Linked DNA regions of Oryzias latipes. The protein of the gene in region 2 binds, or shares a complex with, the protein of the main gene of each other region. Links are inferred from orthologs where the notes say so. Each region holds a gene or a part of one and is shown on either strand. Other genes may lie near its edges. The genes, in order: ncapd3, ncaph2 and smc4.

Evidence for each region.
Region 1: the proteins of ncaph2 (region 2) and ncapd3 are in contact, whole or in part, in a cryo-EM structure (PDB 9F5W), measured with the Homo sapiens proteins. The link is inferred for Oryzias latipes from reciprocal best matches to the Homo sapiens genes NCAPH2 and NCAPD3. Residues at the interface, in NP_689512.2 of Homo sapiens: Trp22, Ser68, Lys69, Glu72, Tyr75, Tyr79, Leu82, Asp83, Ser86, Ile144, Ile145, Pro146, Leu147, Leu148, Met150, Ala151, Leu152, Val153, Asp156, Glu159, Asn161, Asn162, Asn163, Pro164, Leu165, Tyr166, Ser167, Arg168, Gly170, Leu173; in NP_056076.1 of Homo sapiens: Arg589, Pro591, Met629, Glu680, Arg683, Tyr684, His690, Lys724, Glu793, Asp800, Gln803, Arg804, Arg807, Gln817, Leu820, Gln865, Leu866, Cys867, Pro868, Ala869, Arg870, Val871, Val918, Ile925, Lys929, Leu932, Gln933, His934, Ala956, Asn960.
Region 3: the proteins of ncaph2 (region 2) and smc4 are in contact, whole or in part, in a cryo-EM structure (PDB 9F5W), measured with the Homo sapiens proteins. The link is inferred for Oryzias latipes from reciprocal best matches to the Homo sapiens genes NCAPH2 and SMC4. Residues at the interface, in NP_689512.2 of Homo sapiens: Arg494, Ile495, Trp498, Glu499, Thr501, Val502, Leu505, Leu506, Gln509, Glu510, His512, Phe547, Cys550, Arg551, Met553, Leu554, Leu557, Gln558, Ala560, Asn561, Tyr563, Val565, Glu566, Ile567, Gln569, Leu573, Glu574, Ala576, Val577, Asp578; in NP_001002800.1 of Homo sapiens: Ile100, Leu101, Gly102, Pro103, Ile112, Gly113, Pro114, Ser117, Gln1151, Met1152, Leu1155, Phe1227, Lys1228, Ser1231, Ile1232, Phe1235, Tyr1236, Glu1239, Gln1240, Asn1253, Asn1254, Phe1256, Glu1257, Arg1261, Gly1264, Ile1265, Tyr1266, Lys1267, Thr1268, Tyr1269.

What each region holds. Positions count from the first base shown.
Region 1 is NC_019873.2:3,921,336-3,931,620, forward strand, and holds part of ncapd3 (condensin-2 complex subunit D3), read left to right. Parts: intron 1-444; coding exon 445-578; intron 579-1,920; coding exon 1,921-1,993; intron 1,994-2,068; coding exon 2,069-2,194; intron 2,195-2,929; coding exon 2,930-3,182; intron 3,183-4,333; coding exon 4,334-4,372; intron 4,373-5,087; coding exon 5,088-5,171; intron 5,172-5,263; coding exon 5,264-5,340; intron 5,341-5,637; coding exon 5,638-5,772; intron 5,773-6,631; coding exon 6,632-6,852; intron 6,853-8,494; coding exon 8,495-8,686; intron 8,687-8,796; coding exon 8,797-8,894; intron 8,895-8,974; coding exon 8,975-9,084; intron 9,085-9,892; coding exon 9,893-10,000; intron 10,001-10,285.
Region 2 is NC_019881.2:24,033,600-24,043,984, reverse strand, and holds the start of ncaph2 (condensin-2 complex subunit H2), read left to right. Parts: upstream 1-4,960; 5' UTR 4,961-5,211; intron 5,212-5,728; 5' UTR 5,729-5,778; coding exon 5,779-5,886; intron 5,887-6,203; coding exon 6,204-6,305; intron 6,306-6,375; coding exon 6,376-6,437; intron 6,438-6,523; coding exon 6,524-6,602; intron 6,603-6,707; coding exon 6,708-6,764; intron 6,765-9,133; coding exon 9,134-9,213; intron 9,214-9,283; coding exon 9,284-9,533; intron 9,534-9,604; coding exon 9,605-9,676; intron 9,677-9,913; coding exon 9,914-9,977; intron 9,978-10,051; coding exon 10,052-10,153; intron 10,154-10,252; coding exon 10,253-10,297; intron 10,298-10,366; coding exon 10,367-10,385. UniProt on the Homo sapiens protein: Regulatory subunit of the condensin-2 complex, a complex that seems to provide chromosomes with an additional level of organization and rigidity and in establishing mitotic chromosome architecture.
Region 3 is NC_019871.2:13,487,062-13,497,446, reverse strand, and holds the start of smc4 (structural maintenance of chromosomes protein 4), read right to left. Parts: upstream 6,068-10,385; 5' UTR 6,024-6,067; intron 5,946-6,023; 5' UTR 5,889-5,945; intron 4,745-5,888; 5' UTR 4,735-4,744; coding exon 4,593-4,734; intron 4,572-4,592; exon of another isoform or gene 4,409-4,571; coding exon of another isoform or gene 4,339-4,408; intron 3,663-4,338; coding exon 3,472-3,662; intron 2,147-3,471; coding exon 1,955-2,146; intron 1,001-1,954; coding exon 824-1,000; intron 317-823; exon of another isoform or gene 214-316; intron 1-213. Other genes in the region: ift80 (intraflagellar transport protein 80 homolog), read left to right, coding at 6,929-6,965, 7,370-7,591, 9,782-9,892, 10,017-10,085. UniProt on the Homo sapiens protein: Central component of the condensin complex, a complex required for conversion of interphase chromatin into mitotic-like condense chromosomes.

The DNA.
Region 1 (10,285 bases), on a different chromosome or scaffold from region 2:
TAGAAAACGGTCTTAAATGAATCAATCAAATCAAAAAACCTTTTTGGGAAAGAGGGGTGATTAACCACGTCACTAGTGAGGACACGTCATTGCAAAAAAGATTTGTTAATCATAAATGGCGTAATGTCTGATGTTGATGAGAATGAATGAAAAAACGAGGTTTTGTGTTGCAAAATTGTACATCATAAATGATACATAACAGAAAGAAAGGTTTCAGTTTAATGCAGTAAACATCAGAGGAGCTGCAGATGTGTAATCTTATGTTTGCAATGAGGGTTTTTGTGTTTCCTACCAAAAATGCTAACCTTTGTTCTCCTTTTATTCTTACAAAATTTGGTGAATGCAATTTAAATAATTTGTGGTATCCTGACTTCATGTTAAAATGGAAGTTGTGGCATATTTAGGGCATGGATTGATCATGATAACACAATGTTCTTTGTGTAGTCTTTGCGCAGCGTCTTCCATCAGCTGCTCTATGCCATACTGATGATGAATAAAGAGAGTCGAGGGAAACCGGTCCTCCGTGTTCTCAGTCGGAGTGTTTTGGCAATCAGGGATTATGCCATTCAGTTTGTAAGGTGAGAGGTTTGAATTTTTGCTTTGTCTTTGCTTTTAGTATGGTTGGTGTGTGCGCGTGTGACTGGTGGGTAGGACATGGGGTTCCTGGAATAGTTGCAGTAGTATTGGAATTGTTTTATTTACCAAGTGTTTCTTAAATGTTAGAGTAAAATAAATCTATTTAAAGTGATGTCATCTGATGTCCATTAGTTATACTCTTGTTTTTTTACATTCAAGCAACAGTCCTGTAAATCTGAACCTTCATTCTGAAATATATTCCTATGACCACTAGAGGGCAGCGTCTCAATGAAAAAACGTCAGTTTTCTTAAGGAAATTCTTTCAGATGTGAAACATTTTTTACACCAGATCTTTACCACAATCAACTCAACAGCTCAATTGAAACCCTAAACTATTAGACACAGTTTGACTTCATTATTTTTATCTCCTAGAATGCATTTTTCCCTTCCTCCTTGGCAATGTTTTATTTTCCTTCTCTCACGCTTTCTTTCTAGGCCATTGACTGTATAAGAGAACTGGACTGAGTGACCCCCCCCCCCCTCCCCCTAGCATTCCAAACAGGAAGTACCTGCTGGCTTCAAGAAACCAAAATCCCATAGACTTCTATAGAGAAATAAACTGCTTTTACTCCGGTTATTCTAACTTTCTTGGTCTGATACTTTTTTTAAGCATATTTTTGGATTTTTTGTTTTCTGTTTTGCAAGTCTGAATGAGTATAAACTGACCAGTCAGATACTTCAATAAAAGTAAGTTGACAGATTCTCCCGCTTTCACGTGGTAGGGGTGTGGCCCTCCAACAAGTTCACTCCTGATTGGAGAGGGTGGTCACCATAGAACACGGACTCAGTCCGACTTGGATGTTGTCTGGTTCCAATGAGGTGGCATCCAAGAAATGGCAAATGAATTGACTTGGTTTGGTTGGAGCCAGAAGTAAACCATTTTCAATGAGTGACGTCACACTAGTTTCAGTCCAGTTCTCACATATAGTCAGTGTGCTAGCCTAATGCTCATCTGTTTATTTATACCCGTATCTATGCATCCATTCCCTCTATCTGTTTCTCCTGTTTTCATAGCTCTTTTGTATTTTCCATCCATCTTCTATATGCACCGTTCAGGGTCACAGGGATGCTGGAGCCTTTCCACATCTCCTGAAAGGTGCAGCTGGACTTCATCTTAGGCCATTTATTAGTCCATCACACACAGACAACAGACAATTTAGAGGCATCAACAAACCTATGAAGTGTGCTTTTGCAGCGCCACCAAAGTTAGCAGCGTGTGTGCGCTTCCTTTCTATTATTTCTACAGGATGTCTTTGACGTTTGAACTGTTGAATGTGATTCCAGTCATTTGGTGGAGGAGCAGAGGGAGCTGGCGAAACCTTTCCTGGAGATTCTGCTGCAGCACATCTGCTTCCAGGTCAGTCATGAAGACGTTGGATCAGCTGAGCTGGCAACAGCTCTTTTCACAGGATTCTGCTGTGTCGGCATGTAGATGGTGGAGAAAAGCGAGTACCGAAGCCACGGAGCCCAGGCTGTGGGAATGCTGACATCTCAGATGGAAAATGCAGATTACAGCCGCTTCATTAAATGGCTGTTTAATTTCTCCAGACAACCAAAGGTAAGTGTACAAATGGCTAAATATTATGACATATTTCTGCTCCATGCAGGAAAACTTTGGTCTCTAGCATTTCTGTATTTACAGCACTGTTTTATTATTTTAAATGAAGTTCAGGAAAGACTTCATGATGTAGTGTCCTGCTATTTCACATTGACAGTTGGAACTCAATAGTCATAATATGTTTTTGCAAAGGGGCCTTTTATTTTTACTAGATGGAAAACAGCTGATTTTTAAGGTGATCTTTGGGGGCTGACACTTAAAAAGAATTTAAACCTTTCCAGAAGATTTTAGGACTGACAGGAACTATTTCTGAGTGTTTCTTTAATCAAGTTGTTGTGAATCGGGAGCAGATGAAAAATATCATATTTGTGACGTACAAAATACGCTGAGTGGGTCACAGCTCCCAGCTCCTCTCTATTCTGATGCATCCCCTGGTGAATTGATGTAAACAGAGAGCTCTCAGCAATGGGGAGGGGAAGGGGTGTACAGTTTCTCCATGCCATTGGTCCCACCCAAAACTCGGAGGTGAATTTCTTGTGAACTACTGCTGCACTGCAGTAACTGTCCTAGAAAACACAGGTTTTTTTTTATTTGTGCTAAAAACGGCATAATCAGAATTCAAAGCCCACTGGGAATGATCTTCAGAAGATGATGGAGTGAGACTTTTCTTAGTCTGGTCTCATCACCAGCTGCCGCTAGAACCTCAGTGCTGACTTGTTGCCCTGCTGTCGGCAGATGGTCCATCGACTGTTCTCCGTGGACGTGGTCATGGCTTTGCTGGAGCAGACAGAGAGGCGGCTGGAGGAATCTCAGGATCCGGAGCTTGCCATCTTTCTGCCACAGAGGTTTTTGATCCAGGATCTGCTGTTTGCTCGAAGGATGGATGATTCTCCCACCGTCCAAGGCCACGCCCTTTCTTGCCTGGCTCAGTGTTTGGAGCTGCCCTCCCTCAATGTCACCAGGGCCGTCCACAACCTCTTCTCTGGCAGTAAGAGCATACTTACAAGCTTATAACCATGGGCATAAACTAGAATAACATCATTTGATGCTTTCAATACAAAAATAATTTAACAGTGACTCATCCTCGTAGAATTAAATCTAGATAAAAATGTTCAAATAAATGGAGGCAAAGTATTGAGTATGAATATAATAAATATTTTTTCATGAATTTTATTGAACTGTTCCCTGAAACTGACGTAAGACAATAAAATTAGGGGTGTGTATTGGCGATACGATACGTAACCCGATGTTGAACAGGGAAAAACCCCCCACCAGATAGCTTTATACGATACTGGCAGCAACGTGGCAGTGAGTTTCGTGACAAGACGAGCCCTGTGCTTTTATTTTGACACGCTTAACAGTTGACATCGCACAGGTCTCATCATCCTCTCCCTTTCCCACACTCTCATGGCGCAAAAAACAAGTACTGTCAATTAAATATAGCTTTCTTTTTTAAAAGTGGAAGGCTCCTCTTCCGTCTCCTGGCTGGGCCTTTTCCCCTCGGCAAAGAAACTTTCCAGAGACGTTTGTTTTTTTACTAATTTTACTAGCTGCTGGGTTTTATTTTACCAGTAACTTATACTTATCACGTGACCGAGAATAGCGCCTTGGAATGCGTCAAAAATGACATGGACTGATGTAACAGTAATGCAAGTTATTTATTCTTTCTGTGTGGCCCGGTACCAAATGACTCACGGACCGGTACTGGTCCGCGGCCCGGGGGTTGGGGACCACTGTTGTAGAGGGCAAATAAACTATTATAATAAACTTTAATAATAATAAACTTTATTTGTACAGTTCCTTTCAAAATAAAAATCACATAGTGCTTCACAGTAAAACACGGTTATTACGATATATTGGCGAAACTATTTTTTCCAACACCCCTAAATAAAATGATTTATTGAAGGATATTTAAACATTTGGAGTTTGTTTAGTATTCATCAACACTACAAAATCTTATACCTAATGCTATTCAACCTGTAAGGCAGACTTGGGCGCCTTTTCAATGCTTTTTTTCATGTGGTTTTCCATATGTTTGTGGTTTGTTGTACAGAGTACTTGGACAAACTTAAATAACATTATCATTGTTTTGTTGTCTTCATCCATTGACTAAAGCAGACTTTTATCTTCTATTTTCAGCTGGGACTCAGACGGTGCTGGACAGTGAACTCGCAGGAGGTTTGGGTTCCTTTTGCTTTTTCTTTGTTGCATCGAGGCTTGTTTGAAATTCACTTCACAGCCAAAAAAAAAAGTCAAAACTCTCTGAAGAATCTCAAATCGCTAAAAACATTTGGTACTCCAATCAAGTAAGCCTCTAGTTTATTTGTTTTCATTTAAAAGCAAAGTGCCAACAGATAATAAAACTGAGCCTATTAAATCACACATGATACATAAAAGTTGGCAAGTAATACAAGTTTTCCCATGTCTGAACAGGATCAAGCAGGAGCTATAATAGATAGATAGATAGATGTAGGATCCTCGCACTACTCTCATTTAATGATTAGTGTTCAGGTCTGATGATTTAAAAAAAAAAAGACTGCAGATGTAATATCGACATGTAGGCGGAGCTCCTTTTAGTTCGGATGAGTTGAGAGGCTTGTTGCTATTTGAAAATACAACACGCCATTAATTCATTTATTTTTTAATCGGTCATTAATCTCTGGGTTTATCATAGCGGCTGGGTAGCTCGGTTGGTAAGGTGAGAGGCTAACATGCAGGAATCCTGGGGCAATTACCATATCAATGGTGAGCAGTTAACATCACCCATTCATTGGAGTGGGTCTTTAACAAATGCAGCACCGATGTCAAGACCTCAGTGAAGCTTTATGTCAAGGCCCAGGCTGCTGTTGCTCCTGTTCTAGTAACTGTTGCTGCAAATGGGATTGTGTTGCAGTACCTTCGTGCACGCAGAGCAGCATGAAAAGCCTGCCTTTCAGGACGGTGGAGATCAGCTGTGTTGACGGCTCAGGCTCTGAAGGTGAGATTCTAGCACGTGCAAAGGCTCCGTCAACACTCCTGTGGCTCTCTGTCGACCATCTTGTAATAAAAGACTCTTTCCATGTTTTGTAGCGGCAAAGGCAAACCTGGCTCTTCTTCTTCGCCGTGTAAAGGACTCAAAGACAAATGTCAGGAAGGCAGCGCTGCAGGTGCTTTACTGTTTTTGTTTTGAAATAAAGGAAACTAAAGGTCCACCCTGGTCATCAAAGACCACACCCATGACTGTTTTCCAGCTTTCCCTGTTCCGCTAGCTGCTGCTGAGCTGACTGCAGGGATTCCACAGTCTGGTCATCATCATCATCATCAGCAAGCGGTGCAGGGAGAGCTAGAAAACAGCTGGGTTTGGGTTTTTGATGACCAGGGTTGGTCAGCCAGAAGTGATCATTTCACCCTATAGAACCTTTCTGGACTGACCTTCTTATGTGTTCCTCTGACTACGGTCTTAGGCCCTGCTAGGTCTCCTGAAGCATGGTGTAATTCCCCCAACCTGGGAGAATCTGGAGACTCTGTCAGAGCGCACCAGAGACCCAGCTGTGTCTGTGAGGAAGAAGGCTTTACAGTGTGTTGGAGAGCTGCTCAGTGTGAGTGATACCCAAAAGAAAACCACTTTAAAAACCCTCAAACTTGTACAATAACAGATTAAAACGGTAACTGTGTAAAATCCAATTCTCCTGCCAATGGCCTCTTTGTTTAGTATTTTCTTTGTAAAATGGGTAAAGAGAGATAGACTATCCAAAATTTGTATGCATGTAATGCTGCATTCACATTTCAATGTTAAGTCAACGTACGGACGCGATCTGAGGTCCTGCGGCGCGACTTGGGCGTCAGACGCGGCAAGGTTGGCAAGACAAGGTTTGGGCACGTGGCGTTTTTAGTGACTCGATCAAAGGGTAGAAAAATAAATCCAGTGTGGCCGCTCAATGCGAGGGTTTGTGTCATGAACTTCCATCCATTTTCTTTACCCGCTGGTCTGCGGGGTAGCTGGAGGCTGTGCCGGTTACTGTTGGGCGAAGGCGGGATACACCCTGGACAGGTCGCCCCGCCTCCCCCCTGGAAAGGCTGACTGGAATTAAGTTATGCAACAGTTTTTGCGCGAGGGATGTATAAATGGAAATGCAGTCCCCTCTTTGCTTTTTCTCTTTAACGATGTCACAGAATGAGCGGCGTTGGAGTACAAAAGGAAAAAGCATTTTGGAGGATTGTTAATTTTATTTTTTAAGTCAACAAATGCAGCTTTATTGTGAAAATGAAAAAGCATTTCTGGTATTGACTTATTATGAGACACAAATAATTCCATAGAAAATATGCATTTGAACTAGTTAAACTAGTTGGAGTATTAAAAATCTTCAAAAAGTTACTCAAATAAATGTAACTTGTTACTGCCCATCTCTGGAAATGGGAATAAAAACCTGTTGCCATTGGATGTCCTGTCACTACCAGGCCAAAGCCGAGTGCAGCACGGTCCAGAAGGCATGGCTGCAGGGCGTGCTGCCGGCTGTGGTGGACTCTGAGAGCTCGGTGCAGGAGAAGGCCTTGGACGCTCTGGAACAAGTGCTGCTTAGTCAAGTCAAACTGTACAATGGCGGCCATCACATGGACACAGATCAGAGGCTTACATGGGATCTGCTAGGCTTGTTGTCACATGAATGCAGAAACCTGAGGTAAGAACTGACCAGAACCGGTCTTTTTACTAAGCTAAATCCATTTTCTGTAGTTACAACTACTGTGATGCTCCACTGGTCGATCTCACCATGTTAATTCCCTTGGCAGTACTCTACAACATTGGTCCCCAAACCCTGAGCCGTGGGCCTAATCGGTCCATAGAACAGTTGGGACCGGGCAGCAGAGGGGAAAGAAAACATTCTACACCCTTTTTATTTAAAATCTGATTTTGAAGTTTTATTTTAAAAAGCTGCTGGATTCTCTCCACCACATCTGACACAATCTTGACGGACATCAAGCCGCTCTGTCATGCGTTAAAAAATACAACCATTACGTTCTAAAAGTGGCTGTTCCGGTGCTATATCATGCTATATTAACCCACTAGCAAAGTTAACAAAGACAAACGTATTTGAAAAGTTTCTTTTGGCAGAAAAGATGCAAAGAGGAAACAGAAGAAGAGCCTTTAATTTCAAAATAAGAGAACTGCATTTAACAGAAAAAACAGTCTTTCCTCCAAATATGGATTTATTACAGCCGTTGTTCCCACACACTATAATATTAATGTCTAATGATAATAATAATTATTATTATTATAATTATTATTATAATAATTAATGTCTAATGTTACCAGAAAGCTGCTAATAAAGTATTTGAAATGGTAGATTCACATTTATTAATACTTTTACAAAATGGCTGTTTTTGTGACCTATTTATTTTTTTAAATGTATTTATCCGTCTCATCATAAAAGTCAGACCCCCCCCCCCCATTTCTTTTTATTAATTTTTTTTCTTTTTCTTTATGAAGGTTATGGGTTAAAGGAAAATCTGTGGCACTTTACTGGCTGCCTTAAAAGAATCATCTTAAAGCCCCAGTCTGATCTTTTGATCCATTTTAAGATTGTTCCCAGTCTGTTTTTATTTTATTTTATTTAGGTTTTTTGTTTCATTTTTATATGGAATTAAAAAAAACCTGTAATTTTCTATAACATAGTTTTTGCAGAGCGTAGGAGTTTATCAAAAATGTTCCCTTTGAGATGTGGGCGGGACTGTTGGTGTTGACTGAGCCCGCCTTCATTTCCCATGATCCTTCTGTTTACACTCACACTCCTGCTAGCTTACAGCCCCCCGCACACCTCACAATTATCTTTAGCAGTGCAACAAAAATGGTGGTCAACATCAGATCTATCCAGCCGTCCAGTTCTGATCCAGATTCCAGCTCAGACCCGGAAAATAAAGAAGTTCATGGATCTATGTGTCTGACAGTGGATGATCAGAATGGAGCAGAGCAGGGGGACTGTGACTTGCAGGTTGCAGCTTTTCCATAACCACAAGCTTTCTACAACTACGTTTTTTCATCTACACCTTATTTCAGAACAATGTGAATGAAGAAATGCATTTGTGAGCTTAATTTTCTTTACATATGTCCTCCACTATGAGAAAAATCCTATATGTTAAAATCCCCATTAACAGCAGAGTGGGTCCTTCAATGATCTGTATCAACCACAGCAAACGGGCTGTGGTTTGACCAAAAGCAAAGCTATATAGACCTCAATTTAATGTGAGTGTGTCTTTACGATCACATCAGTCTATTTGCCAGAGAAAAGGAGATGGAGACTAATTGTAACATTTCTTTTGTTCCAGCCGTTATTTTAGCAGAGCCTTCACCATTTGGTCGAAGCAGAACAAGTTCACGCCGGCTTTCATCACAAACCTGATGTCACACTTTAAGGCCGATCATGCTGCAGGGGCCTGGCTGCTGCTTTCCAAGGTCGCCACTTCATGTCCCAAAGTCCCATGTGGCAAAATCCTGGACTCGTGGGACGCATCGATCAGGCGAGCACGAGTTTTACCTGAATCATTTCCAGACATTTTGGTACTGGTCATTTTTGATGATCCAATTGTGTTTGTTTAATTACCCAAAAATCTACTTTATATTCTTGCAGATCAAGAGATGTCGACGTGACAACCTTCTGTCACATTCTATCTGTTATGGGAGACGTTGCAGTTCATTTAAATGATGATACCAAGAACAGGATAGTTGGTAAATGATTGTGGAAAGGCGATAGACTTCACTAGAAGAAGCTGGAGAATGATGACCCTCCCTCACTTTTCTTCTTTCAGAGGATCTAATGTCTTTGTTGAAGAGTTTCACTTTGTCTCTTGAGTTGATCAGCACAGCCGTGCAGACTCTTTATCAGCTTGGCTGTCAGGAGAACATCAAAGAGACCCAGGTTTGGAAAGAAACCTTGTTTTAAAAAATATGTATTCGTTTTTGTTTACTTGTCGAACAAGAAGTGCGAGTAGCCAAAAGTGAGGGTCTTTCTCATCATACTTGGCTTGTTGTCCAAGTTAAAAATGAGAGTCCAGAGTCCAACTAGACAGGAAATATCATCCATTCATTTTTCAAACCCAATGAAGCCCTGTAAGGGACACGGGGTTGCTGGAGCCCATACCAGTTATTGTTGGGCAAAGGTGGGGTACTGAATAGGTTGCTGGTCTGTCACACAATCACTCACATTCACACCGAATCTCTAGTGGCATTCTGAAGTGGTTTTTCTGCATCGAGCCTAGCTGGTTCTGTGGGAGGAGGCACAGCCACCAGGTCCCTGCCTGCAAGCCCAAAAACATAATCATACAAGAACATATTCTCTTGACAAGAATCACTTTGGCTCTCAACCACCCAACCACAGTAAGATGACAGATAGATCATGGAGAGATTGAGTTGTTACCAAGTGTTTGTGTCACTAGTTTGGTGGGTCTGTTGTGGTAGGCATCTGTCTCCCCCTTGCGTTGTGACTCGTGTGTGTGTGTGTGTGTGTGGATGTTGTGCATTATGTTCATCTGAGTTGTGTTTGTGTCCATCTGTGTCTTTGATGTTATCCTCACATTATCACAACACTCTAAGCTCATATTCTGTTATCTGTTTTTTTAAGTTTCATGGAGTTTAACATTTCTTTCATATCAAAAATGTTTACTTCGTTTTTTGTCAAACTGTTAAACGTTTTGCATTTGAGGACTTTTTGGGTTTCTTGTCTTCAGGCCTTCCTAAACCAGCACTGTGGCGAGCTCGTGTCTATTTGTGAAGCTTATTTATCCGCTGTCATCCTCAATGAAAATGGAGCCCAGGACCTTGATGAAGAGCTCATGGTGAGCAGGCTTTTCCCTCTTATTCAACCACACTCCTGTCATTGCAAGTTGGTGGTCACTTGTCCCTCACCAAAAATGATTTTTCTTTTTATTTGTTGAATCAAATTACACTCGGATACAAAAGTTCTCATGGGGATCCAAAGCTTCTTTCTAAAAGATACATCAGTCTCTACGTTCTCTGCTGTGGACTTGCGTCCTAGAACAAAAAAGTTCTCAAAGGGTTAACTGAAATATTTGTGGTTCCAAAACAGTTTCTCTGCCCTCACCTTCTTTTCTCCCAAACAC
Region 2 (10,385 bases):
TCCCACGTGTGGGATCAATAAAGTATCTCTGATTCTGATTCTGATCTTTGAATCATTTAATGAGATTACATCATTTAGTCAAAGATAAACATCGATTACATGAAATACATGTTAAATGGAAAAGGATGACATGCCGTACAATATTCTACAATGAACATCATTTAAATAACGCTTTTGGGGTTGCTATAGGGTTGCTTTGCTAAATCTTGCAGTTACTATGGCAACCCTAGCTACTCCCTGGCACCGCCATGCTTGGTTCCGGTCCAGTGGTTAATGGCAGATTCCCATCAACCAGACTGGATGTCGGCCTCTTCTGCCCTGATCACAGCGTTGGACCACAAGCTCCTCAATCCCCCCACCCCAAGCCCAGTACCACTCAGACATGCCAGCGCTCACCTGTTCCGGACACAGGTGCATGATGGGATACTCGCTGGGGTGTTTCATTTCAGTGTGAAGGTGAATAGGAACCGACACAGGAACCAGATGTCTGCTCCTGTCTGCCTCAGCTCATCAGCAATGGATCTGATGAGAACCAGAACCAGGTCAGAATAGGAACCTAAATGAGCTCAGACTCTAAACCAGCTCAGAACCAGATCCATCTTTGAATCTGAACCAGAGACACACAAAAACAGAGACACAAAAACACGCACGTACACACACAGACTCAGATACTGGTCAGTGTTTTCACCACAAAGGATGAAGAAGAGCTCAGCTCCTCCGCTAGAAGTGTTCCGGATAAACTTATTTTTAGTCACAGCTGACCCCCACCCTCCCCAAAGACATTTATTCCAGCTGTCAGATCAGCAGAGCAAGTCCCGGGAGAGGAAGACTTCCAGAAGCACATCTTCCTCCTCCTCATTCATGTTCATCCAGTCTGGGTAATGGGCACACTTTAGGACACAGAGGAAGAACAGAACATTAAACAGAACTGAAGAATCCAGTTCAACCTGTTTAAACACCATTGAATCTGGTTCAGTTCATTCTGAATTGGTCCAGTTTGTTCACCGTCACCCTGATCAGATAAGCTTCATCATCATCATCTTCATTATCTCCTCTTCTGACCCGCTGCACCGATGTTACAGGCAAACAGGAGGACAGAGGACCCCCATCTGGACCCCCATGTGCACAACACGGCAATGGGGGAACCAGAATCTGGACACTTTATGTACACAAAAGTCACAAACAAAAAGCTGCAACAAAGTCAGCCGAAAAAAAGAGAAAATGAGAAGAAAAACAAACTAAAAAGTATAAAATAGAGAAATGACGACATTCATCCAGAGAAACGATTCAAGTTCCACAGCTCTATAATCAATTATTTTTAAGACATTTCAGAAATTTTTCAAGAAAAAGATTGTTTTTAAAACACAAAAACATTTTGTTTAAAAAAATCATTTATGAATAAAAACATAATTGTTAAAAAATAAACTTAAACGTAGTAGTATGTTTAGGGGATGTCATCTGAACTTGGTTTTAAAGTTAGAAGACGTTTCACTTCTTATCCAAGAGGTTTTGTCAATTCTGAATTAGCTGGTCAAAAAGCTGGTATATATGCGCTCATGGGGGAGGAGTCAGACCTGAAACTGGATGGTATTGTCAACTTAGCCTACATGGTTTAAGGTCGTTAAGAGTCCTTTGTCCTCAGCTGGGGGTTGGGGAGCCAGTGACTCCCTCCCCAAACTGGTCAGCTATTAACGACCCAGGTGGAACTGGTTTGGTTTGTTTGGGTTTCAGAACACTGCCGTAGATGGATGGAAGAATAAACCTGAGACACTAGAGGAGACACGCCCGCTTTAGAAGCCTGGCCGACGGTGGCGAAGCGCGACACAATCTTGGTGAGGTGGACGACGCCCACATGACAATGATTTCTATTGCTTTTAGTGGTGTCTAAGTAGCTTTTATGTACTGTATATATGTTTACATTTATATATATTTATACATATATGTAAATACATTATATTTATACATAATATATAGATATGTCATTTGTTGTTGTTAAAGAAGAGAAACAGTCAGCCTTAAAAGCTCAAACTTGAATGAAAATCCATTGTTGCAGGACTTCTTACTAATAAAAAATTTATTACAAAGAAATTTTAAAAATAATTTCTAAATATTTAGAAGTTTTATACCTCTTTGACATGTAATTTAAATTATTTAGAAAAACCCAACAATAAGTCAATAATAATAATAATAATAATAATAATAATAATAATAATAATAATAATAATAATAATAATAATAATAATTAATAATAATAATAATAATAATAATAATAAATCAATATTAAGTAAATACAAACAATAAATAAATAATAAGTCAATAAATAATGAAAAAAGTATATAATAATAATAATAATAATCATAATAATAAAAATAATAATAATACAATAATAAAATAAATATTCAAAAGAAGTCCAAAAGTAAACAATAGATTTACCCTAAAAAAACAACAAGGAAAAACAATAGATTTACTGATTCATGTTAGTGATCAGTTTGTGTAACACTGATGTTTTGGTGTCAGGTTTCAAGCAAACAGTCTGGCCTCTCATCAAAATCTGTTTCCACAAATGTTTTAAACTTATCCAGACTGTATTACTAGTTGGTACCACAGTGATCCATCTGGGTTAGTTCTTTTGATAGTAAGGCCCACTTTTTCCTGAAGTCTGAATCCATTAGAAACCTGCAAGAAAAGTTCAGTCACTGAGTCAGAAATGTATAAATCTATATTACTATAATAGCCTAGTATGCTGTATACAGGTTTAGCAAAATAAAATGTACATTTATGTCGACAGGAAATTATCCGTACATCATGCAGCATGTTGATAACAGCCCTGCAGCATCATGGATGTCTACATGAGTACGATTAATGTGTGTCTCTTTCGGCTTTTCCCATCAGGGGTCGCCACAGCGAACAAGTCGCATGGTAAACTTGGCAATGTTTTACGCCGGATGCCCTTCCTGACGCAACCTTCTCAAACCGGGCTTGGAACCGGCACAGGGGTAGAGAAGGGAACAGGGAGCAGCCCGGAGTCGAACCCTGGTTTCACGGACGGAAGGCGCCGCAAACCAGCACGAGCTAAACCGGCTCCCGTACATGAGTACGATTAATGAAGCCCCTAAAAAAATCAAAATACTTACCCGTAACATTATATGCCTTCCTCCTTCATGGACTCATTTCTCTGATTTTGGCAGTTGAAACCCAAACAATGAACTGGTATTATGCAAAAAATGTGTTCACATGCACTGCAGTAGTAACTTGACCTCACCAAGATGGCGGTGCTCTCTTCCCATGAGGAACCACGTGATGTCTCCTCTAGTGATAGAACTCATTGGTTCCAACTACCCCTGGCTCCAGCCTGCAGAACTGCACAACATAGTGGAATGCTGAAACGCTGAGGAATGTGAACACGCTGTGGAATGTTAACCCCGCCCACGCTGAGCCCGTCTTCTTTGGTTTCACAAGTTTCCATGTGCAATATTGCCACCTACCAGTTTTTAAGGAGTTTTTCCTTACCGTGAAGGGGGGGTCTAAGGGCAGGAATATCAGTTTAGATTAATCTGTTTTGTTAAGGTTTAGTATTAATCCTAATGCATTCTTTGTGTTCATGATCCCTTTTTCATTGTATGTTTACCTTACAATTACCGGTATGAAGCCCATTGAGACGTCTGTAATTCGAATTGGCGCTAAATAAAAAAACATTTTTTAATTGAATTAGAGAAATTATACAGTGATTGCTGTCTTCTCATGCCTTTTACAAGTTTCCATGTGCATGTATTAGGGAGTTAATAAATTTTGTCTGGCCTCACGGACTCAAAAAAATAACTCATTGGATGAACTCAATTTAATTGTGGGCAGGATTTCCATCCAATAAATATGAGTAACCCCACCTCAAAGAAAATTCTTCCATGTAACGAAATATAATTGAGTTAATCGAACTTAATTTTATCAAGAAAGGCAAAGGAAAAAAACATGCATCAGCAATCAGAAGCCAGCCTCGAACTCAGAACCTCTGGATGTTAAACCCACTAACTAATCCACTGAGCTAACACTTTTGTGATGTTTTCAAGCCGCCTGTAAAAATAAATAGATTTATTATTTACATAAATGAGGCTCGTCGTGTTTCGTCTTATTGGGAGAAGCCGAGTTGAAACGATTTCATGGCACAGTTTCGTTTTTTTACGTGGAAAAAACGAACGAAAGTTTTCACTTTTGAAAAGTCAAAGGATTTGAAGGACCAAAAGTCAAACCAGGCATTAGACGAAGGAGTTGAACATTTTAATAGTTGAATAGTTAAAATAGGTGAAAAATTGTTGCCGTAAGACGGCAAAAAGAATAAATAAAGAGAAACAGGAAAACAGCATTCAACAGCATGCCCCTTACTTGAACTCAATTATTCTGGATTACTGGAGTTGTCGGGGAAATTATTAATACATTTTGTGTTAGGTCAATTAAATGTAGATAAATTCTTTTAAAATAAATATTTTTAAATAAAACAAACACAATTATATTGTGTTACATGAAAGAGGGGCTTGAATCATTTTTTTGAGTGATAAAAAAACATTGCACCATTCAAATTTTCTTCCCCTCTGTCCTCTTTCTTCCTCATTCAATTCACAATGACACAAAATGTGCTCCACTTATTCTTCCCCTTTCCTGCAATCACAACTGCACTGATGAAGGTGAATCAAATGCACGGGCTCAACGTGGGCGGGGTTAACATTCCACAGCGTGTTCACATTCCTCAGCGTTCCAGCATTCCACTACGTTGAGCCATTCTGCAGGCTGCAGACAATTCTGCAGGCTGCAGCCTGGGCTTACTCGGTGGTTCTGCTGGTTCTGACCTGATTGATGTAAACACGTCAACCCGTTTAACAACTGGAATCTGTCAACAGTTCAACTTTATTCACAGCTTCTGCTACAGGTTTATTTCACTGAATATTACAGGAAAAGGTCCGTTTGACTGCGTTTGAGCTGATCCGAAATCATTCCCGGTGCAGTACCGCCCCGCGGCCACAGGGGCAGCAGACACCAAACAAGAGCGACGAATAAGAACTTCCGGCCGCGCGGGTAATTTGAGTGGAAACAGGCGCGAGCGTTAAGTCCGGTCAATTCCTTTGCTTAACCTTCCCTGTGGGCGCGTGCGTCTCCACAGGTGTTTTGGTGACGGACGTCTGACTGCTTTCCCGCTCTGCTGGAGAACTGCCCTCTTTGCAGGTAGACTTTCCACTTTTCATTCCCGGAGTTTAGAAGGTCGACAGTGACGTGAGGACACCGACCGACAGTCAGTGCAGACTAGAGAACAGAGTTGTTAGTGTTCAGGTGTTTTCATGAGACGTTCGGGGTTTTTTATGAGACGTTCGGGTGTTTCTCTGAGACGTTCAGTTGTTTTCGTGAGACGTTCGGGTGTTTCTCTGAGACGTTCAGGCGTTTTCGTGCGACGTTCAGGCGTTTTCGTGCGACGTTCAGGCGTTTCTCTGAGATGTTCAGGCGTTTCTCTGAGATGTTCAGGCGTTTTCGTGAGACGTTCAGGCGTTTTCGTGCGACGTTCAGGCGTTTTCGTGCGACGTTCAGGCGTTTCTCTGAGATGTTCAGGCGTTTTCGTGAGACGTTCAGACACACACTGGAGTCTTTGGTCGCCTCCACTCTTCTGGGTCCAGAATGGAGGTTCTGGGTTGGTGGTTTATCCGTGGCCCAAACGCCCTTCAGTGTTTGTCCCGGTTCCCTCCTGCAGATCCGACCCGTTCTTTGAGTTCTCCAGAGTCTGGAGGGGGCGGAGTCATCATGGAGTCCACAGAGAGCCGCTTTGCTCACCTGCTGCAGCCCATCAGAGAACTGACCAAGAACTGGGATGTGGACGTGGCGTCCCAGCTTAACGACTACCTGGACGAGGTAAGACGGAGACGAGCGCCACCTGTTTGGGGGGGGCTCAGAAGAACCCCAGCTTCTCTGACGTAAACTGAAGCTGACCAAGAACCAGGTAGCCACACCTGCTGGAGCTTTATTCAGAATCACCTGGACTCCCAGCAGCTGAGTTAGATGAACCTGAAACAGATTTAGATGACCTTCATCATGAAAACACTGGTTTCACTGAAGGAGGCGGAGTGCAGCTTGACTCTGATTGGCTGCTGTGATCATGTGATGCCCCCCTCCCCACAGTGGCTCCCCCTCTGTGAAGGTAACACGTTAACTTCCCTGTGTGTCTGCAGCTGGATGAGATGTGCATCACCTTCGACGGAGGAAAAACCCGACTGAACTTCGCTGAAGCTGCTTTGCTTATTCAGGGCTCGGCCTGCATCTACAGCAAGAAGGTGGGCGCAGTCATGTGACGGGTCATGTGACCCAAATGGACCACTGATGGAGCCTCTCTGACCATTGCAGGTGGAGCTGCTGCATCATCTGGTTTTTCAGACGCTGGAGTTCATCAGTGAAAAAAACAAGAAGTCAGTTCTGCTTAAGCAGTTTTGCCGCCATGTTGTCCAGGGCCTCACTGTTCTTCTGCCCGTGTCCACCGATGTCCACCTGACAGGCGGAGCCAGGAGGCGGAGACTGAGAAGAGCGGCGGAAGCAGAATGACGAGCAACAGGGACGATGATGGCCAGGATATGGTAAGAAAAGTCACTTCCTGTTTAATCCCTGTTTTGTTGATTGCCTACTCCTGGCAGCTGCTGCAAAGCATGTTGGGTAACATGAGATGTTTTTGTCTACATCAGTTCAGCCCTCTGGACCTGGATCAGTCACAGAACTGGCATCAGTCTGGTCTGAGTACGGTGAGGAAGCTTCCTATCCATGGGCGAGCTGGGGTTCAACTTCCTGTCTGGCAGGAAGCAGGTTTTTTTTTTCCTCAAATGAACTTTATTAACAAATATTGCACATTCAAAATATCAAACATTGACACTGTACAAAACTCAAAATGTTCACATTTGCCAGGAAAATGAACAAAAAGCCATAATAAAAACAGGCAGAAAACACTAAAACAGAAATAAAGTCTCAACAGTGACCATGTTTCCACTGTTCCAACAGCTATTGACACACAGAATCATTTCTTTAGGAAAATACGTTTTTTTTGTTAGCATATTTACACGTATGAATGGAATATTTGACCATAACTATAAGTAAGTTAACTATCTATGTTTTCTCTGCATTAAATCTCCCTCGTGTAAAATATCCAGAAATATGTTCATAGAATCATTTATAGTTTCACGGGGTTTGTTCTAAAATGAGTCAAATCTTTCCAAAATGTTGGAGTGAAAGAGCAAAACTGATGAGGCACAGTTTCTGGTGAGGAACGATAACATGAGCAGTTTATGTCCAGTTCTTTTTTAAATTCCAGGAAGAATATTCCAGATAGCATGATTAAACTTCCCTGACTTTAAGCCTGAACTCTGGCTGAAATCCACCCGAACTTGCTTACTCTGGGTATGTCGGTTCCAAAAGACCGGATATGAGTTAACGTAATCACGCTCCACTTGGTAACCCTGGGTTAATGCACGTGCACAGCAGGTACATAAAGACATTCTCAATGGATCGCCGCTTTCTGGAGTCACCATGGAAACACGTGGAAAAAAAGAAAGCGCTATACTTCAGTGAGACGGAGTCTGAGATTTTAATGACGCCGTATGAAGATTATACGTCCATCAAAAAAGTAACACGGCTGCATCATCAGCAAAAGAGAGTTTCTGCTTGGAGACAAAGAACAAAGTAAACGCACGAGTTTCTGATCTTATTTCCATTTTCTTTGTGACGCAGAAATATATATATATATATAACTTATCCAATTTTGCCAACTTAAATGAATTACTTCTATTGGTAACAAATAATTGAGTTAAAATTATTCAACGTAATTTCTTACGTCTATAAAACTCAATAATTGTTTATGCAACTCAAATTTACGTATTTATCTAACTAAATGTCATATTACTCCAATTCAATTAATATTTTTTCCATCTTAATTATATTTCTTGAACTCTCAAATGTCTAAGTTTGAGCCGGCAGATATTCTCATTTGTATAACAATAAAAAGGACGAAACAAAATGCACAAAGTGTATAAATTGATTAAATAATCAATAATCCTCTCCCTCCCTCTCACTCATGGTGCAGAGACGTAAGCAAAGTAGGACAAAATAACTCGACAAAACACAGTAAAACAGCTAAACAACTAAACACATTTGGTCACAAAGCCACACTTAAATCCAAATCCGTCCAGACAGGCAAAGGGAATGGTATCCCACAATCCTTTGCGGTGCCGATCTAACAGCACCTACTTAATTGAATTAATTTGAATGAAAGTAAAACAACTGTCTGAAAACTACGTTTTATTTTTAATCTAACTTAACAAAAAAAATGATTTATCTTAACTGAAGCAAATAATGAAGTTAGATCAAAGTATAAAGTTTCTCTTTCCAACATCCATATGTGGTCTTATCACTCTCTCATGGTGGAAAAAGTATTATCTGAGCTTCTTCATCCACTAAATCATCTTCAAATGGACACGCCATGCTGCTTCACCTCTCTGAAAACAAACTAACCTTCAACTAAACCTGCTCCAGACCAGGTTATGTTCAGAGCATGAGTTGCTATGGCAACTTGACCTACCCTGAAACATACCTCCATTTCTGGAACCGAAAGCTGAGGTTATCAACTTCCTTAGCCTCAAACTTACCGTGGGAGCTAGCAGAACCTGCTTCCTGGAATACCCCCCCCGGTGTCTTCAGAAAAGAGGCCGCGGCGTTACCTGTTAGGAGGTACACAGGTGTTACCTGTTAGGAGGTACACAGGTGTTACCTGTTAGGAGGTACACAGGTGTTACCTGTTGCGAGGTACACAGGTGTTACCTGTTGCGAGGTACACAGGTGTTACCTGTTGCGAGGTACACAGGTGTTGCCTGTTGGGAGGTACACAGGTGTTGCCTGTTGGGAGGTACACAGGTGTTGCCTGTTGGGAGGTACACAGGTGTTGCCTGTTGGGAGGTACACAGGTGTTGCCTGTTGGGAGGTACACAGGTGTTGCCTGTTGGGAGGTACACAGGTGTTGCCTGTTGGGAGGTACACAGGTGTTGCCTGTTGGGAGGTACACAGGTGTTGCCTGTTGGGAGGTACACAGGCCGTAAGCGTGTGATTGCTGTCATGTGACCCTCAGACCGTGGTCGTCACTCCTCTTCCTCCCGAGTCTCTGATTCCTCCAGAAAGCCAGGAGAAGCAGAAGCTGCCCCTCATCAGGTGGGTGGAGCGGCAGGGTCTGACCCGCCGGGCCGTGCGCTCTGCTCACAGCCGTCTCTTCGTGTGTCAGTGTGAAGGGGGAGGTGCTGTGCAGCCAGAGGGACTTTCGGATTAACCTGTTCTTCCCGGGGGAGGGGGGCGTGGTCTTACTGAGGCTGCGCTCTGCGCTGGAGCTGGACCTGCATCCCGCCAACTTCTTGCATCAGGATTCCTCTGTTGATGCCTCCATGGGTGCAGACGTGCCCCCTGAGGCAGGAGAAGACTGCCGTCCAGAAGACAGAAGTGACCAGGACCCAGAGCAGCATGTGGACCGGCACCAGGTCTCATCAGAACAGCACAGGTGCTCCACCTGGACGGTCCAGAACCTGAACTTGTTGTGGCTGTGTTGCAGGCTGGGAGCGGCGTCCGAGAGAAACGGCAGATCTTTGCTGAGGAAAGACCCCAGCAGGATGCCCCGCCTCCAGTAGGTCACCTGATTCCACAGACCACTTGTCTGTTCTTCATCCTGCAGATGTGCAGTCCCATCTCCTCTGCCTCGTTTCTGTCAGCCTTCAGGTGAAGGTGTCAGGTGCAGACCGGGCTGTAAGCCGGTCCTCCCGTTTTAGTCAGAGGCGTTTGTAGGACGTCTTTCTTCGTTCTCAGGACTTTCTGAAACGCTTCTCCACAAGTAAACGTCTACCTGAAGGTCTCTCTGTTCCAGGTGAACGTCTGGACGCTCCACGACCCCTACGCTGTCCTCGCCCACGACAAGCCCTTCAGGATGGGTCAGTCAAGGCCGTTCCTCAGCTGGGTGTCACTACACAAAGTTGTGTCCACTCACAGTTGTGTGTCTCCTTAGGGAGGTGCTACAGGGTTCCACACGGTCTGGATGAAGGAGGAAAGAGGAAGAGGAGGTGCCCTTGTCCTCTGCAGGACTTCAGGAGCTGGTTCAGAGGAACCTGTGAGAACTACTGCTCACACTGATGTTTCATGAAAGCCACATCATCATCCTCATGTGTGTGTGTGTGTGTGTGTGCGCGCGGGTGCTCGTGTGCTACAGCTGGTCCTATGGAGAACAAGCTAAAAGGTGGACCCACCTTCACAGGTACACAGCACATCAGGACTCTGGCAAACTGAGAGGCGGGTCTTTTCCTGACTCCACTTCCTGTTTCAGACCTGAACTACATCTACCT
Region 3 (10,385 bases), on a different chromosome or scaffold from region 2:
ATTTTTTATTTTATGGTAGGTAAAAAATACAATTAAATGAAAAAGAAAATTAAAATATTAAGAAGAAAATTATGACAGGTGAGACGATTTAAACTTGGTTACCGTAAATCTTTTTAACCAAGAATAATGTAGGACCATAGTATACCATGAATTACAGTAATAGAACAAAACGTGAACCAAGACAGATAGTTAAAGTCCTGGCAACAGAGGATGTTTGATCCCGTCACACTGAAGCAGCACTGCTAATATTGGGGTTGGGGGCTTTTTTCACACGCCAATATTTACGTGCTGCTACAGCGTAGCAGGTATATTGAAAAAGGAAGGGTCCACCTCATCGCCATTAGTGGATCCACAAAAATAAAAAAATTAAAATAAAAAAAATATTAAAAATATAAAAAAACTCTGTTAAGCTAGCAAATAGTTTAGCAACTGACATTCAGGTTTATGTGGGAGAATTTCAATTTTTTGCATTTTTTCCTTAAAATTCTAAAGCAGCAAATAATGGTTCGCACTTTTTTCTGACTGTTTCAAACCATGATGCGCTGCTACAGCATTCTAAGGTCTTGCAGAGGGCAACCCCTCCCCAGTTCTTTTCTATGACACCACAGCATATTCCATGACATTTCCAGACATGGCCTACAGGTACATGAGAAACATTTAAGCAAAAAAGAACCTGAGAATTGCACTAAAAAAAATAAAAAAATAATAATAAAAAAAGATAAATGACAGAATGGCATGATTATTCAAAAAAAAATAAAGTTTTTTGGACTTGCAGGATAAGAGGAAAAAAGGAAAGAATACAAGAAAAACACTAAATAATTACCTGTAAAATCAGAAACCTGTTGTGGTCGAGGTCAATACCGTGACTTCGTAGTAATGCCCCCACTTCTTTAAATGTGGCTTTCTTGCCATTGATATGGTAGGCTGAGGAACCGTCTTTGTTGGCAGTCCTGGAAACGTAGAATTTGCTGTTGGGGATGACTTCGTAGTCATCTCCTTCCTGGCTCGGGGGGGGGGGAGGGGCAGAAGACACAGCAGCTTAGAACAGAACAGTTCAGGAGAGGCTGAAACAGCCCAACACGTCAAACTGTTCCAACACTGACAGATTCACTTATTAACAAGGCCTACATAGAAAAACACACACATAAAATATTGTTTATGAGAATGCACTACATCTATAAAGGCAAAGGATAAGATAAAACACTAAATGTGTATTGGAGTGTATTGCATCGTAAGCTTCCTAAACTTGTAACTACAAAAGATAAACGGATTGGGTAAAAATGTTTAGTTGAAAGAAGAAAAAAGGCTATTTATTTAAGGCCGTGTGCACATCGCTGAAAGAAAAAACCCTGTAGTTTTAAGGAATGATTGTAAATACAAAACTGACAGATTTCTCAGTTTGTGCCAATTTTAAGACAAATCAATGTTTATTAAAAAATACACAACATTTTAGCTTCAGCAGTGTGATCAAATTCACAGTCCCTATGGCTAATTTAATTTATAAAAAATTTTCTAATTGGGGGGAAAATGTAGCTCACAGTTGGTGGTTACAGCAGCCTGTTATTACATCCTACCTAAAGCAAACACTACTGCTTTTTTTTTTTTTTTGCCACCATGAAAAAAAGCAGAGGCAATAAATGCATTTGTTTATCTCTTTCCCTTCATTGCCATCAGATCAATTTTAGGGCAAAATGACTCAAATGTGGCACGTGTGGGAGTTCCAGTAACTTTCACAACTGATTTAAGTTTACACTTGGTCACTAGAAGAAGAATTGAGCAGCAATATTACTGCATTAGAAACGACAAAGAACAAATACATTTTAAAAATTCATTTTTGCCCAACTAAAATATTTCTGGTGATTTTTTTTTTGTTTGTTTGAACAACAAACTGATCATTTTAGTGAAGTTTGTATTTGTGTGTAAAAAAAAAAAGTGTTTATAAATATCTGTATACCTTATCAATGATCTTTTGAAAATGCACCTCCACAGTACAGCTTTGCACATCTTTGTGTTTATCAGAGCTGTGAATCAACACTGAAAGCTTTTTTGATCTTATCTTTTGAGCTCTGTATCCAAACACAAAGAGCATGGAGTCTATCACATTAGACTTGCCGCTTCCATTTGGACCAATGATGCAGGAAAAGCGCTGGGAAGAAATTAGGAGACAAAAATAAATAAATAAAAATGAATGCATCATCCATATGAAACATACAAGAGATTAAGATTCAACAACAGCTGTCAGTAACAGCGATGACACCACACACAAGTCTAATATAGATTTAAACACTTAAATTTAGCAATATGAAACTTGCATGGACATGAGGCGACTGAAAAAGATTTTTTTTAAAGAAAAAAACATTTAAAAAGTTTCATTAAATGTGATTACACCAGTAGATTTTCAGAAACTGAGAGAAACACTAAATCAAAATGGAGGAGTGTGACTTCTTCCTCTTTTTTTAAGGATTTTTCTCTCTAAACATTTTTACTAATAATCTTATTTTTTTATAGATTTCAATAAGACACATTTATTAGAAAGGTGACCTAAGATTTCAGACAAGAAAAAAAATAGTATCAAATGAATAAGACTTGGATAGTAACAGTTACACTAAATCAGTGACGTGCAGTCAGGAGAGGCAGGTGAGGCTGTGCCTCACCTGTCATGGGAAGAAAAGAGAAAAAATAAATTCAACTATTATATTTAATCAGTAATTTGTGCTTTGCAGTCATTTTCCATTTAAATGTACCAATTTTGGGTGTTTTTTCTTTTCAAAATCGCTGAATTTCCGCATTTGCCGTTCAGATACTAAGAAGTGACGTGCGATGAGGCACCAGCCCGCTGAGCCTCACCTTGGATTGCGCAATACCTATGCAGTCAGACGGTACTGCTGTCTCTCTGTATGTCGGTTCAATCACTTGTACTGTATGAGCTGAGTTTGCATAATTTAGCAGATGTATATGATGTACAGTGTTTGTTTTTATAAATAACTGTATGTGAGGGACGTGTTTCTTGTGCTGAGCGCTAAACGCCGGCGAAAAAGCCGCTGGGTGAGGCCAGAAGTTCCCGTGCCTCACGTTAGGGGGCGCCGGTGAGCCTTGAGATTATGACGCTAAAAAAATAATAGAATAAGTGATAGCAAGCGGCAAGTCATTTTCTTCCGAAAGAGCGGCGTATGGACTTTAGTTACAAGTAAAGGTAAGACGATAATAATGTTTGTGCTTTTTTCTATGCTGCGTTTTGTATATGAAAAAAAACATGTTGAAATGATATTTTAAACAAAACACCTTAACTGTTGTCAATCAAATGGAGAATAAATTAATCAGTATGGTTCATATGTTTGTAAATCTGACTGATGACGTCAGTGCCTCACCAGCCATTAACCTCACCGCACGTCACTGCACTAAATGTAATCTAAGTACATAGTTAAATATATTCAGGACACATGGTAGATTAGAATCAAGTTTTGGTCGTACCTTGTGAAAAGGCCCCAGAATCTGCTCGCCTGCGTACGACTTAAAGTTGCGGTTCACTAAATGTGTTATCATCAGGCGGGGAGCGCCCGGCTCATTGGTCATTGCTGGGGGCGGGGGTGGAGGGATGCTACCGAGAATCTCCTCCAAACTTCGATTATCGACCGCCTCGGCAGCCTCCCCTTCTGCCGAATCTGTGGCACAGAAAAGGGCACTTTTCAGTTTTTCTGTGCGAATCGCTTCAGGTGGGGAGTGGGGGGGGGGGGGGGGTAATAGGGACGGGACAGTGGCCCATGGGGGAGGGGTGGGGGGAGAACAAAAACAAACAAACAAAAACACAGTCGGCAAGTCGCACAGACAGACAAGCGACTCCGGGGAAAGTTGACAGGCGTCGTTTTTTTCCCCCTTTGTTCAGAAAGCAAGAGTCAAGCCTCGGATCGGACATGAACGAGCACACATCAGTGCTCACAAACGCAGTCTCTCTCCGGTTTGATGCGCCACGGACACCTCCAGGATAAATGAAGTGCGTTTATATCAGCGACGTCGTTACTACACCCAGCTAAATGAAATACAGACAGGAAAAACTTTTCTGCATGAAGATCTACAACGATCTTCAAGAATCGGTTCAAAATCTTTTGTGTTCTCATATATACAAAAGAATTGACGGTGTTTCAAAAATAAAGTATAGCAGCTAGACATTTAGCGGAAAAAAAATTATTAAACAGATTCATGTACCAATGAACTTCAACAATTGCATCTTGAGAGCAGCACACGCGCTGTTCAAAAAAAAAAAAAAAAAGTTGCAGGCATGATGAATACAAATCCCGTTTTTACGTCACAACAAAAACACACCATTTCGAAGCAAATTACCTCGTTTGCCGTCAAGATCGGGCGAAGAAATGCATTCGACGATATGAAAATCATCCTGGAGTGATTTCATTTCTATGTTGCACTTTAGAAAACGTCTCAGCCATCCCAGCTACTCTTTTCAATTTAAGATAGAGGAGGGGAAGGAGCTTTACAGCTGTGCCAGTTGGCCTCTAGCAATACTGCAATACACGCAGAGCCATTGACTGAACAACTTATTTAGATTCACAGACACCAAAACAGCCTTTGTTACTTGCCAGTTGTCGGTGGTGCCTCCTCTTGGCCATTGGAGTTAGTTTCTTGAGGGGGTACATCCAGATCACCCTCAGACACATCCTGCGACCCTTTTCCTCTTGGCTTGGTAGAGGCGGTTGAGCTCTTTGCGGTTTTGGATGGCATGATTTGAAATCTAAAGGGGTCATTGGTAAAAAAATAAAAAAATAAATGGGGGGGGGGGGGGGGACACATGAGTGGTTTTTGTGTCTGTCAATCTCTCAACTCCACTTTACGGTCAGTCACACACAACTAATGTGTCAGGAGTTTGCCATTACCAGTCAAATCTTACTGCCGCCCTTCCTAATAATATACCATTGTGTTTATTATTTGTTTTTTCCTTCCAAAAGTTTAAATAGTTGCTAAAAACAAAAACATGGAAAAGTGTGTTACAGCGATTTTTATTCATCTTAACACTACTAGGATCAAAAAAAGGTTAGCTTTTAAAACAAATCCCCGTAAAAAAATGTTACAAACTAGCCAACTACAAAACTTTGGAAAAATGCTTTTTGGCCTTAACCGTTAACGTTTAACGGTGGGTAACAACGAAAAGGAAAATAAAGTTTACGTCACCCATTTGAAAAAAAAAAAAAGAAAGAAAGAAAAAGAGGGAGAGAAATTCGTGTCGAGCCTTGAATTGCTAGTTTTCTATGATGACCACTACTGAAAGCGCAGCTCAACAGATAACAGTCGAACTTGCAAACTAGCTTTCAGTCCCTGAATTCTAATGTTCAGGGCGGAATGATAATTTGAAGTTGGCCATCTAACGCGATTTGTTAATGTATTCGAATAACTAACCAAACCTACAGTACATGCAGCATGATTTAAGAATGTTTTCGTAATCGTTTTGTTACCGGATGACTATGTCGCATTAAAAGTTACTACGATTTTTTTTCCCTCGGCTAATAGTTAGGTTAGCAGGGGGGAGGGGGGGTGCTAACTAATCATTATGTCAAACTTAGCATCACAGAGCAGACCGACATATTACCACCTTTAACTGGTATAGGTTGTAATAAACATATAAACAGTAATGCTATAGGGGCTTAAGTTAAGAATCCATTATTGTTGCAATTATTAAAAAACGCTAAAAAAAAGTCAATAAGTAGTAGTAACACTATCAATGTCCTGCCAATGCTATATTTTTTCCTTTTACTTTATTTTAAAACATAGTTGGATTTGTGGCTTACTTAAAGGTTTGTCTCAATTTCAACGACCGCTATGAATTTCAGCAAATAGACGGAACCCAGTAAATATTTTTTTTCTATTTTTTCTTCATGTACCTTCCACAAATGAAAAAAAAGTCCTTCGCTGATTTTCTGTTTCGATCCAGTCCAAACCTTTCAAGAAGAATAGGTTAATCCAAGGTCTAGCAAAAAATACACTAAAATAGTCCACAAAATCGTGTGCCGTATCACCCGGAGCCGCTTCCTTTCTCGAAAAACTTGTCTTGTAAATGGCGCCTAAACTGCGCCGTCGAACCAAATTCGTTATAAACTCTCGCAAAGCATCATGGACCTTTCAAATGGTAGTGTGAAAAAAACACAAAATTCAAAAAAGGGGACGAAGCCAACTCCGCCTCGCTCCACCAGTGATAAGAAAGGCGCAACAGTAACAAAGCGATAAATGACAATTTCATAAAAAGACATCACTTACGATTTTCATTTTTTGAGTAAGGATATCTTTTAAGAAAAGAGTTGTGTTTTCAGTACTGTCGAATCATTCGGTTACTGTAAAATAAAGTCCCGCCCCATGGAAACGTTTATATTATTTTTTGGAAGTGACCGAGATCATCAACACATTATTCAGTAATAACGCAAGCCTACTTTAAAGATCATTTTCTGAATGAATTTGTATTAGTCACTCAAAAAGTAAACCCTCTATAAGTACACGCTGAGGTTGCAAATTGTTACAACTCTCGCGATGACTTGGCTGTCAACCGTTCACTCATCCGAGATTTCATGGCTAAAAAGTTAGCTTCCATACGTCATGAAAACAAAACGCTTCTTCATCAACGCTGCTTGACCTGGTTCATTTGTATCGAATATTCGAACTATATCAAATGACTTTCACACATTGATAAGAGGCACATAAAAGAAGTGCGGTCATCAGAATGCCCCCCGTGCGATTTTAAAAGGTAATGATTTTAGTTAGTTAGCTACAGTGGCTGCCTGGTAACATAGCAACTAGACGCTTGTTTGGTGTTGGTGCATTTTCTCTCTTTGTTGGATTTTCCTCTAATGTTAAGCTTGACTTAAGAGTTGATTCAAAACTGACATACGTGTGTTTTGTTTGTTTAGGATTCAACAGAGAGACAAGAACAATGAGACTAAAAACTACGCTGCAGAAGGAACCAAAACATATCCTTTAATTGCATCGTGATCCCTCTTGTTTTATAACTTATTGCCTTTGATTTGAGCTGAATGGCAAAATATTTTGAAAACTGTGACATTTCACGTTCCCGTTTTAATAGTATTATTGCTGTTCTTCAATTTAAGATTGTTTTTAAATTATTTTCTGTCCTACATTTCTGCAAACTAAAATAAATTTCTGCTGATAAGAACCACTGCAGCAATGATAAACCTTGTCATTTGCATTTTCTACTGAAAAAAATGAAGACAAAACAAAACAAACAAAAAATAAAATAAATAAAGGGGTTGGGGGCAGGTTCTCCAGATTCTAGGTATCTATGTAGAAAACATGCAATCAGCTGAATTTGTAATATTTGTCCTTTTTTTTATTATTTTTCTTAACACCAGCTCACATAAGGATCTTGTAAGTTGTTTAGGTTGGACCACAGCCGATGAGCTGTACTCATGCAGTGATGATCATCAGATCCTCAAGTGGAACCTGGTGAACAATGAAACCAATGTGGTCGTCAAGCTGTCAGAGGACATCTACCCCCTGGACATGCACTGGTTCCCCAAAACTGTTGGTGGGAAGAGACAAACCCAAGCTGAAATCTTTGTCCTCACCAGCACTGATGGCAAGTATTTTATAAAACCCACTCTGCATCTTAAAAAGCAAATGAACAGTATGTCCATATCAAGTTGTGAAAGACTCAATCAGCCGTTTTTAAATATATTTATTTATTTTACAAAATACTGCAGGATAGTAAAAAGTTTTAAGTAACCAGCCATGCTGTGACTCTTTTTTTTAAACTTCAATCCATGAAAATAAAATGCATTTTTATCTGATATTAAACTTGGACTTCACTGCATAAAAATTCCATTTGCCGTTTCGCAATGTGCCAGATGCGTTTCAATGATGATTGGCCAAAACCAAAAAATGTTTTTTTTCAGTGCCCATGCTTTTATGACGAAACTGCATGTTGATTAGAATTATGTTCCTGAAAGATGCAAGACTTTTTATGCTAAAGAAGTTTTGTGGGTAGAAGAAAAAGTTGCTCTGCCTGAAATATAATTTTTTTAGAGACGTGAACTTTTTTTTTTTGCAGAAATCTCTGCTGCTTCCATCATTATGGATGTTGAATTTGAATTCGTCAGGTGTAAATAATAATTTGTCTACACGAAAAAATGTTGCTTTTGAAACCCAAACTGCTGTGAACAGTTTTCCCTTTTCATTTTTTGACAGCATATGTTCCTATATATCGGTTTTTACATTTGTTCCTTCATGAATCATACCTGTTCTGTAATTCGACCAATGAACCCAAAGATCCCGGGCATCTAGCAATCATTATCTTATTTTTATCTTTTTTACAGAAATGATTTTGTGTTTGCTGGATGATGAGATATTCAAATACTTAATAACTTTATTGCAAGGATATTCTGAAATTCAGATTGTTTTTAATCCCAGTTCTACTGGTTCGTGAGCCCTGCCTCTCCTAGATGCTCTTTTTGTTAGATCATTCATTCATTCATTCATTCATTCATTCATTCATTCATTCATTCATTCATTCATTCATTCATTCATTCACTCACTCATTCATCTTCTAAATCTGCTTTGTCCCTTTCTGGGTCATGTGGCTGCTGGAGCCTATCCTGGCCACTCGTGGGCCAAGACAGGGGACATCCTGGACAGGTTGTCGTAGGGCTTTGTTAGATTATGTCCCTAAAAATGTTACCAACTATATAATTAGTAGCAGTCAGTTGTCTTCTTACCAACAGTTTTCCTCAGGAACCCCATAGAAGTCATTTATTTCAACATTTCAACTTTTATAAAGATGTGAGAATCCGCAGTTGCACTCATTACTTAATAAATTGTTTCCAGCGCAACTAGTGCAAAAATTAGTGTAGTGTCATTCATGATGCAACATAGATGTTTTGATGTTGCCTACTTTGAGCAAATGATAGTAATTTTCATACTTTTTGGGTAAATACACAATGGTTAATTTCTGTATTCCTTAGTTTGAGGATACCATACTGTTTCATTTGCCTTTGGATGACTTGGTTTGTCACTAAAGGCAACAATCCAGACAGTGCCAAGGTGTGTCATGCATGTTACGGTAGATATGAACACATAAGAGCATGATTGGACTGCTGTGGTAGGCAATATGTGGTCACAACTCTAATGGCAGTGTTGAATTGCAAAACGGATGCAGCAATTTACTTTGGCATGCCAGAGACTCGTTGCGATTCCCTTTTGCAACTTTCTTTCTCTTGCTTTCTTTAGTATAGTTTACACAAGCTAGACAAATAGCTGTTGCCATAAATACTACATGAAATATGAGAAGGGAAATGCATGACAATCATTTTTTGAACTACTGTGAGCCCTGACACATTTAGCAAAAGGATCAGTCTGTTATTGATCTTTAGCATTTTCTCAAATATCTATAAGAAACGTTTTCATGCTACAGTCCTGCAGCCCTGGTTACATATCTGGAATTTTCAATTTAATTCATTTGAAGTATTTTTAAAGTAAAGATTTTCTTTATTCATCTATTAATTGCAAGTAACTATTTTGGATCTGCAGTTTTTCCTTTTTTCTTTTTCAAATGTGTGCTTTTAAAACATTGTTTTGACAAATGTATGTTGCTCATCTGTTTAATATGTTGACTTAATTCATTTTGTTCTCCCATTTAAAGATGTATTGGTGCAACACTGCATTAATCAGTTTTGGACAGAGTCATTAGATCGTACTCGTCTGCATCAGGGCAAACGTGGACTGAAGAATAGTGTCACAATAAAGTCAACTCTTTTTTTTGGTTGTTTTTAAGGAAAGTTCCACCTGGTTTCCAAGATGGGGCGCATTGAGAAGAGTGTTGACGCTCACAAAGGTGCAGTCTTAGCAGGAAGATGGAACTACGATGGAACTGCTCTTGTTACAGGTTTGGATGTCGCTAACGCATACACAGCTGCAGTATAATAAATATTTGGTCAATTTTAGACAAAGAAACATATTCAATACACATTAATATTTTTTAAAGTAATGCTGCTTTCTATGGTTCTTAGCTGGAGAAGATGGGCTAATCAAGATCTGGTCAAAAGTTGGGATGCTGCGCTCAACTTTAGCCAACCAAGGTAAGGCTAATTGTTTTGTCTTAGTTTTACAGCCTATTATCCACTTAATTTTATGCACTTTGCAGAATTAAACTCGAAATACAGCTCTTAGATCATGTAAAAACAACTAAAATGCTGAAGAACTGCCTAAAAGTCAGCTCGTCTTTCTTATCCCACATTTTCTTGGACTTCCCTCATACTTGAAATCTGACCGTTTCTTTTAGCTGACCTTTTATACAGGTTTCTTTTTATTTTTGTTCCTTTTGCTTGATCAACCTATGAAAGATCAAATAGAAAAGACAACAAACTCAAGACATAACT